Linked DNA regions of Macaca mulatta. The protein of the gene in region 2 interacts with the protein of the main gene of each other region in a biochemical or structural test. Links are inferred from orthologs where the notes say so. Each region holds a gene or a part of one and is shown on either strand. Other genes may lie near its edges. The genes, in order: MITF and PIAS3.

Region 1 (3,808 bases), on a different chromosome or scaffold from region 2:
GTGTCCTTGCCTCCACATTTCACTTGGAGAGGGCCAGGTCTCCCGTCATGTGCCGTACACCCAATAACCCAGTGACGGGGACAAGAGGCTGGAATGCCACAGCCATGATGGTGAATCAGGGACAAAGGCTGGTAAATGTGACCACAAGGACAAACTAGAGTCCACAGTTAAGTGTGGGAATCATATTCAACAGACAAGTTATTTAGCATAAGAAAACAGGAGAGGAGAGGAGACATGAATTACCTCTTTTTCACAGTTGGAGTTAAGCGTAAGCATAGCCATGGGGCTGTTGGGTGCGCTGCTCCCCGGCACCGGTGGCATGACATGATCGCCAGGCTGGTTTGGACATGGCAAGCTCAGGACTTGGTTGGCATGTTTATTTGCTAAAGTGGTAGAAAGGTACTGCTTTACCTGCTGCCGTTGGGCTTGCTGTATGTGGTACTTGGTGGGGTTTTCGAGGTGGGTCTGCACCTGAACATAGCCATGGAGGGAAATGAAGACAGCGCTGTTATTTGTGAGTTTCAGATGGCTCTTCTTTCAGGCACAAACGTGAAACTGACCAGTCCACCAACAGAATAAATTATTAAGCCTTTGTTATGTACCAGGCACTGTGCTAACGGATTTTGATATTACTGAAGTTTAAAGTCTAACTCGTAGGATTTGGGGTAATACTTTGCCCTATTTTGTTTCCCTGCTAATTAACTATACATCTCTTTCAAATCTTCTTCTCATATCTGATAATTAAAAGTTTGAAATTATCTTAGGGCAAAAACTTCCCCAACACACATGAAAAGGTTTATTAAGAACAAAATAAAAATGTAGAAGAAGGGGCATAACTCAGTTTGTTTCACTTTCCTTGGAAAACAGAACAGCTTTCTTTTTAAAACACACACACACACACACACACACACACACACACACACACACACCCCTCCTTAAGAACCAACTGTGTAAAATGGCTGTAGAAAATAAATAGAAATCTTCCAGTGATTAAATCAACCAGTTGTGGATTAATTCTCCCACTTCCATTTGGACATGATTATTCAACATTTTAATTAAGAAAAAACTCAACATAAAAAGCAATTCTACATTAAGTAGTTTCTTTCAAATGCATAACACTTACACGTATGTGTTTTAAAAGACATGACTATTAACAAGTCAAGAGGATGTTTTTTCTGCTTTCCTACAGACAGTAATTTAGAATGAGAAATACTTTTCCCCCAAAAACAACATTATTCAATTTTAAGTCACTTTTTTCCTGATAAAGACAATTTAATCTTATGAGCAATGAACAGGAGCTGATGAAGACAGTTTAGCCACACACTAGGCAAAAAAAAAAAAAAAAAAAAAAAGAATCCTACTAATATTTACTTTGTTCAAAACTACATTGGATTACTTCTTATGGCATCAAACAATAAACAGCATTAAAAGAGTAGATTTGTACTTATTGAAAACAGTATGTTTATTACAAAAAAACTGTATTAAATCAATTTATTACATTATATTTCAAAGACTGAATATGAGTCAGAATAAAGCTCACCTGATAGTGATTATATTCTAGCATTTCCAGCATAACAATGCTTTAGGTGGCCCCAATCCAATGAGAGATGGTAGACTATCCCTCCCTCTACTTTCTGTAATTCCAGTTTGAAGACGGGCTGGCATAGAGAAGGCACTATAAACAAGGTATCCCGAGACACCACCGGAAACTTTATCACAGAAGCCCTGCTTATAATAACCTAAGCTAATTAGTTATGCATGTAAAAAAAAAAGTTCACACAAGGGCCTTTTTTTTTTTTTTGGAAGCCCTACGAGTTTGCTCTTAAATGTTGATATCAATTTTTCCCCCTGGCTTGACGTCATGCTTTTTTTCATAAATATAAAAGAACCTTTTTAAGTGACGAGCTATCAAAGTCAAACTCACTGTCAGATCAAGTCCAATTCACTATTCATCTTTAGTTCCAGTAGTATTAATAGACAATGGTATTTCTCTTTCAGCAATAGGTTAAGAGCAGGATGCCCCTTTGGAGGAGACATCATCTAAAAGCTACTATTACATGAGACTTTTCCAATGGCCGAATAACTGCCACTTCCGACTGCAGGATGACTATCTTTTAGTATAGAAGAGAAGAGACTCTGGGCTGAATGTTCAAGTTCAACAGCCTCTTCTTGCATCCTGGTTTTAATATGCACCTTATTCTTAGCTACGTAGATTTGTAACCTGCCTATTGACCTCACATCAGGAAGACCGGGAACTATCCTAAATAGAACATGGCACACACAGAAGTGGATGTATATTTATGCGGATAATAAGAACTAAGTCTCTCCCCTATTTAACTCTCAAATGAAAAAGCATGAGCCTTTTTGCCAAGAATTTTTAAATATTATTCTTAAGACTACAGAATAATGAGTTATCATATACACAACCGATACATTTACATATTTATTCCTTTATTCATTCATTATTAACTGTTATGTGCTAAACACTGTACAAAGCATAGAATATGCATTGTGAACAAACAGATATAATTTCCAGCTTTATGAAACTTATATTCTGGGGTGAGGCAAAAAAAGAAAAGAGGCAAGCAAATATATACCTATAAATTGTGATAAATGCTTAATATCTACTGTTGACAAATGTTAAGCATAAAAATTTGAAATTCAATAATGTTGTCTACATGCCCAGGATAATGCAGTCCATCAGGTTGCCAATCTCAAATTGTTTCAAATGACTGATTTAGCATGTACACAGAGGTTCACAGAGACTTTGCTTTAATAAAGGGTCCAGACACGATAATGATGAGGACAATAGACATTACTAAAATAAACATAAAATGAGGGCAATGAGTGGAATGTGCTTATTTCACTATTACACTTGAAAAGAGATTCACGTTTAAAAATAAATGTTAATTTACTGGCAGATCCTAATTCTTTAATGAATCCGAATATTATGCTTTGGTAAAGAAAGAAGCAATTTGCTTTCCAGGTGGCACTGTCAGTGAGGTCTTTATTACATCCAGGTTTGGGTAAGCAGAATGGGATATATTTGGCTCTTTTACTGTTAATAACTTTTTATTTTTAGGTTGAAAGCAGATGGCCTATAAACACTATGCAGTCGACAGAACATCTCCAGTTGTTTCCAACCCAAACACCTCAAACAGGCAACATAAATGAGGAACATGAGCTACGAGGAAGGTAATAAGGAGTGGTGAGGTCTGTGGCAAACCAGAGGACACACTGTTCCTAGCAGGAACAGCAGACAAAAGCTGCAGCTGATTGTGGACATGTGGGAATACGAGTCCAGCCTAGCTCAATCTCCAAATTTTTCAAGGGTGGCTGGCAATCCAAACTACTTTTTTTAGTAAAGTCCTCCAGGTTTAAAAATCTGATGCTCAACTGTTTTGTGTTTCACAGAATACAAGCCTCAGCCCAAAAACTAGAAAATAATCTCTATTTTACACTGTCTATAAGGATGATCTTCATATTTACATTCCCTTGGAGATAGCCTAGGTTATGAGAAGTTAGTGTCCGAATCCAGCCTTTTCCTGGTGCTTCTTTGACAATGTGCCTGACAACACAGTTAGCAGAGTTCTTCACTTGAAACCTGGGTTCAAATTCTATCTTTGCAACTTACTACTCCTGTACCTTCTGCAAATCATTAACTTCTCCAGGTCCTCATCTCCTAGCATATTGAATGGGAGTGACAGGAGAGTTTGCCTCATATGTGTGTTTTCTGCGTTAAATGAGATCATGTTTCTAATGGCTTTAGCACAATATCTAAAACAGCAATTCTCAAACATTTTTGTCT
Region 2 (4,600 bases):
GAGGATAGAGCAGAGACACACAAAAGAACGAGAGACAAGTAGGCACAAGAGGATGGATAGGGAAAAGCGCAGGGCAGAAGAGAAGAAAGTCAGAAAGCAGAGTCCAGGGGTAACCCCCCAGGGATGAGGGAGGAAGACTGGAAGAGATGTACCTGGATGTAAGAATCTGCTGCACTTGCTGGGGTGTGAGGGCAAAGGTAAAGTGCGCTTCCTCAAACCGCTGGCTAGAAGTGGATGCTGAGGATACAAAGGGGCAGTTATTCCAAGCCCATGCACAGGCAGCCACAGAAATCACCCCCATCCCAGGTCACTGATCCCATAGGACTAAAGCCTAAGAAATGTCTGGGGAACAGGTAGGGAGTCCAGAAGACTAAGGGACCACAAAGAGCCATACCAAGGGTGGTGGGCCGGATGAGCTCCCCGTAGACTTCATAGAAGGGCAATGGTTTCATGGTGACATCAGGGTGCACAGGCTGGGCAAGAGAGGGGTGCATGTCCACCTCACGCTTGGGGCCCAGCAGGGTGCCAGGGGCCAAGAGGGTTGGGGGAATGGGAGCTAGAGGACCAGGGGAGCCTACAGGAGAGGTGCCAGGAGGCAAAGAGAGAAGGGAGAGGTCAGAGGGCCCCAGGGTCTTCCGGGGAAAGCGTCGTCGGTAAAGCTCTTTGATCTTCATCTGGACGCTAGGGGCACAGCTGGACTTCAGGAGGTGCAGGGCCTTGGCCAGGAGCTCGTGCTTCCGCCCACTCTTGTTCCGGCCAGCAAAGCCAAGAAGCACCTGGAGCTCAGACACCCGGAAACTCATCACCATGTGCTGTGGAGAAGAACAGAGAAGCTTGAGAATCCTCCGTTGCACAGGCCTGCCCTGCCAAGACATGGGCTGAGCTACCAGGTGGGCAGTGCCTTTTTCCCTCCAGCACTGATGGGAAAGATGATGCTTCGCAGCTAGTGGATTACTGCCAGGTAGTCAACCTATCCAAAGGGACATCTCAGTCCCACTTTAGCAACCATCAGGTCAGCATCATCACCACCCCCTGCCCACCCCAAGCTTGAGCAACACTGTCTGTCTCCCCAGGCCTGGAAGTGGCCAGAGTGGGGCAGGGAATGGCAGACAGCAAGCCACCCTCAGACACACCTCCAAGTCTACACAGCCTCCCGCCTCCAACCCTGCCTCTAGTCTGGACTCTCCTTTAAGCTGCTTATCTCCTCTCTTGCCCTTTCTCAGACACTCAAACTCATCCCAGCCTCCTGGGAAGAGGATAGGAGACAGGGAGAAGGAGGGAGAGACAAGAGGATTCAAGCCAGACAGCCCCACGGGGAAGAAAGGGGCCAGGTGGCTGGAGGATTGTGCCCTTCAGCCCACCCCTCCAAACCACCTTAATTCCTCAGCTATTTCCCCCAAGCCTCTGAAGCTTCTGTGGGCCGGGGTTTTCAGGTCAGGGTTCAATGCTCATTACTCCCCCAGATCCTTTCTTGGAATCATTAATATAACCGCCCCCTCCCCACAACTTAGTCCTATTTTTCTGGAAGGGAAACAGGACCAAAACTTAGGTTGAGGAGATTAACAGTGATTCACTGAGTCCAAGTATCCTGCCTGTTTACTCTATCTGCCAGGAACCATTATCTGGCGTCTCTCCTACAGAGAGAAAATAATACTCCTGTACAACCTACAGCCCCCCTACACGGGTGGAAGAGGAGCGGGCAGAGCTCTAAACAGAGGCCCTGGGTGGATGAAGGAAAAGCCTCTGAGTCAGGGCACAGAATCGCAAATTTCCTGAAGGTAGCTGGGCCCAGTGGCTAGACCTCCAGACTGCCCAGGACCATAGCTCCATTTCAAAGGGCAGAAGAAAACCAGGAGGCATGGGGATGAACTCGGTGGTTTAAGGTTCTATGAGATGTCCTCAGACGTGGTCACCCTCCAAACTCTGTGTGGCAGAAGGAGGGGAGCGCTCTCCTTAGAGGGAGGACTCCCTTCTGTGAATCTCTAGGAGATCCTGTCATGGGCAGGGCTTGCTAGCCCTACACAATTCTTCTCACAGGAGGCTTTGTCTTGGACCCCTTTTGTGGAATGTGATGAGAAACTTGCTCCTCTTTCTCCCAATCTTTATCTTCTCTGTCCTGTCTTATTTTTTCCATTAGCTTTCCCTATAACTTCCCTCCTTTCTATCTCATAGTTTCACATGCCTCTGCCTCTGCCCAAACATCGCGATTCACTAAGGCAGGACCTTCCTCTGAGCCTCCAGGATGCTTCTGCCCCACCCCTCGAGGTATCAGCCCGCACAGCCCCGCCCCCTGCATCTCAGCCGCCTACTGGTATTTCCCAAAGCTCGGATCCCGAGAGTAGCCCCAAAGACCCTACCCTTTCAGCTGCCTTTCCCCCGGAGCCTCCCCTACATCTGCCCCGCGGTCCCATCCCTGCATCTGCCCCCTACTGTCGCATCTCTTGGCCTCGATCGACTCGCCCCCAGTGCCTCTAGAGCAGCTTTTCCCCCTGGCCCTACCCCAACAACTGCCCCTACTACTAAATCCGACTTCTACCCTTCGTCCCCGCCCCCTGCGCCTCAGCCCCCAACAGCTGCAATTCCCCTCGGCCCCACCCCTACATCTGCCCCGCAGCCCCGCCCCCGGAGCCCCGCCGCAGCCCCTTCCTCGCTCTCAGCCACTTCTTTCCCATCCTCAGCAGCCCGTGCCTGCCACGTCGTCGGCGCCCACCCGAGCCCCGGCACCCAGTCTCGGTCGCTTCCCGGACACGGCGTACCGCCGGAATCAGTCCAGATGGGGATGGGGGAGGGGGCCGGTACCTTTAATTCGCCCAGCTCCGCCATCTTGAGACATCGCAGGCGCCCTAGCCGGAGCCGGAGCTCAGGCCCAGGGACCGGCGCACAACTCTCCACCCCGGCGCCGGCCGCAAATGCCGCCTGCTCCGCCCCGTCCGGCCCCCTATACCTCCCCTTCCCGGCCCCGCCCGCCTGGCTTCGGACTAGCCCCAGCCTGAGCCCCTCCCTCCACAGCGGACCCAGCAGCTACACGTCTGCGGCGGGTTGGCAGGACGCGTAGCCCCGGAGGGAGTTTATGGCCCCCAAGATCGCGGGGTCCCCTAGGGCAACGAAGAGGAGGCGGGTCCGAAGTGCCTGGTGGAGGGGGGCTTTGCCACGGCAGAGTTGGGAGGGGACAAGCTTTTAGAGAGCCAAAGATACTTGAAAGATGGAGGGAAAGTATCGGGAACTGCTAGAGCTCAGAGAAATGGGGGAGGGGGTAGCGAAGTTGGAGCGCAAACCCTCATCTCCATCTCTACATAAGTTTAAGCAACTAAAATCGAGAGGTCTTCCAACTCGGGAAATGGGCGAGCGCTGATCCGTCTTAGGGAAGCCGTGGAGTCGGCATTCAGTTCAAGACAGCTATACTCAATTCACCCTCTCCTCCTCCCCCCAACACCAACTACAATGCAGCTCGTGGTCCGATCGTAGGACTCAAACTCAGCAGCAAAAAAAGTTTGGTGCGGGGAGCGGGACTTACCAGCACAGTTGTGGGAAATGGAGAGAGGGTTCGGGAGGCTCAGAGGGCGGGCTGGAGAGGTGGGGGCATGGGGCTCGGCGCCGCTCCTGCTGTCCGCACGGCAGAAGTTCGGTCCAGCGGCCGGACGCGGCGGCCGCGGCTCCGCCCGGGCCGGAGCTCCGCCCGGCCTAGCGCTCGGGCTGGGGCCGCCCCCTCCACGGGAAGCCCGCCAGGACCGCCGAGAGGGAAGGGGGGCGGAGCTCGGGCGAGAGAGGGAGGGACTCAGAGCCTGGCGCTGGAGCGATTAACTCCTGGTGTGAGTGGATCTGGAGAGATGAGATCCTTGGATCCCATCATTCTCACTACCTCTGTGACCCCTCACGCTTATGTGTGGGATTGGGGTGGTGGCACGCTGCTGCTAAGGCCGTGTGAACCAGGTGTCTGACCGTATAAAGCAGTCTTCCTTGAAATGACAACTGTCTCTCCCTAGGGCAAAGCCTGGGCTACTGAATCCAAAGTGTACCTAACAGTAACTACTCCAGATACCCCTGCACAGTACCTCCACCAGAGCCCCCATACCTTTGGTGTAGCTGAAGATGAATTGAGGGGTTTTCTTGCCAACAAAAGGAATCTTTCTGTCCCTCTCTGAACTACCTACTCACTCTCCTTCCTCCAAAGCCTTGGACCCTCCAGAGGCCCCATCCCAACCAAGCTGATCACTCACATGCAGGCCCAAGATTAAATCTGTTTCTGTTTCCATGGAAATACCTATTTATTTATTTATGTTTGAGACGGAGTCTTACTCTGTCACCCAGGCTGGGGTGCAGTGGCGCAACTTGGCTCACTCTAACCTCCGCCTCCCGGGTTCAAGCAATTCTCCTGCCTCAGCCTCCCGAATAGCTGAGATTACAGGCCTGCGTCACCACGCCCGGCTAATTTTGTACTTATAGTAGAGACAGGGTTTCACCATATTGGTCAGGCTGGTCTCAAACTCCTGACTTCGTCATCCGTCCGCCTTGCCTGGGCCTCCCAAAGTGCTGGGATTACAGGCGTGAGCCGCCATGCCTGGCCCAGAAAATACCAACTTAAGGGAAATGTACCCTTACT

Evidence for each region.
Region 1: the proteins of PIAS3 (region 2) and MITF form a complex in vitro, tested with the Homo sapiens proteins (2 studies listed by BioGRID). The link is inferred for Macaca mulatta from reciprocal best matches to the Homo sapiens genes PIAS3 and MITF.

The regions. Positions count from the first base shown.
Region 1 is NC_133407.1:133,472,514-133,476,321, reverse strand, and holds part of MITF (microphthalmia-associated transcription factor), read right to left. Parts: intron 472-3,808; coding exon 244-471; intron 1-243. UniProt on the Homo sapiens protein: Transcription factor that acts as a master regulator of melanocyte survival and differentiation as well as melanosome biogenesis.
Region 2 is NC_133406.1:119,437,912-119,442,511, reverse strand, and holds the start of PIAS3 (E3 SUMO-protein ligase PIAS3), read right to left. Parts: upstream 2,841-4,600; 5' UTR 2,824-2,840; coding exon 2,800-2,823; intron 813-2,799; coding exon 395-812; intron 238-394; coding exon 153-237; intron 1-152. UniProt on the Homo sapiens protein: Functions as an E3-type small ubiquitin-like modifier (SUMO) ligase, stabilizing the interaction between UBE2I and the substrate, and as a SUMO-tethering factor.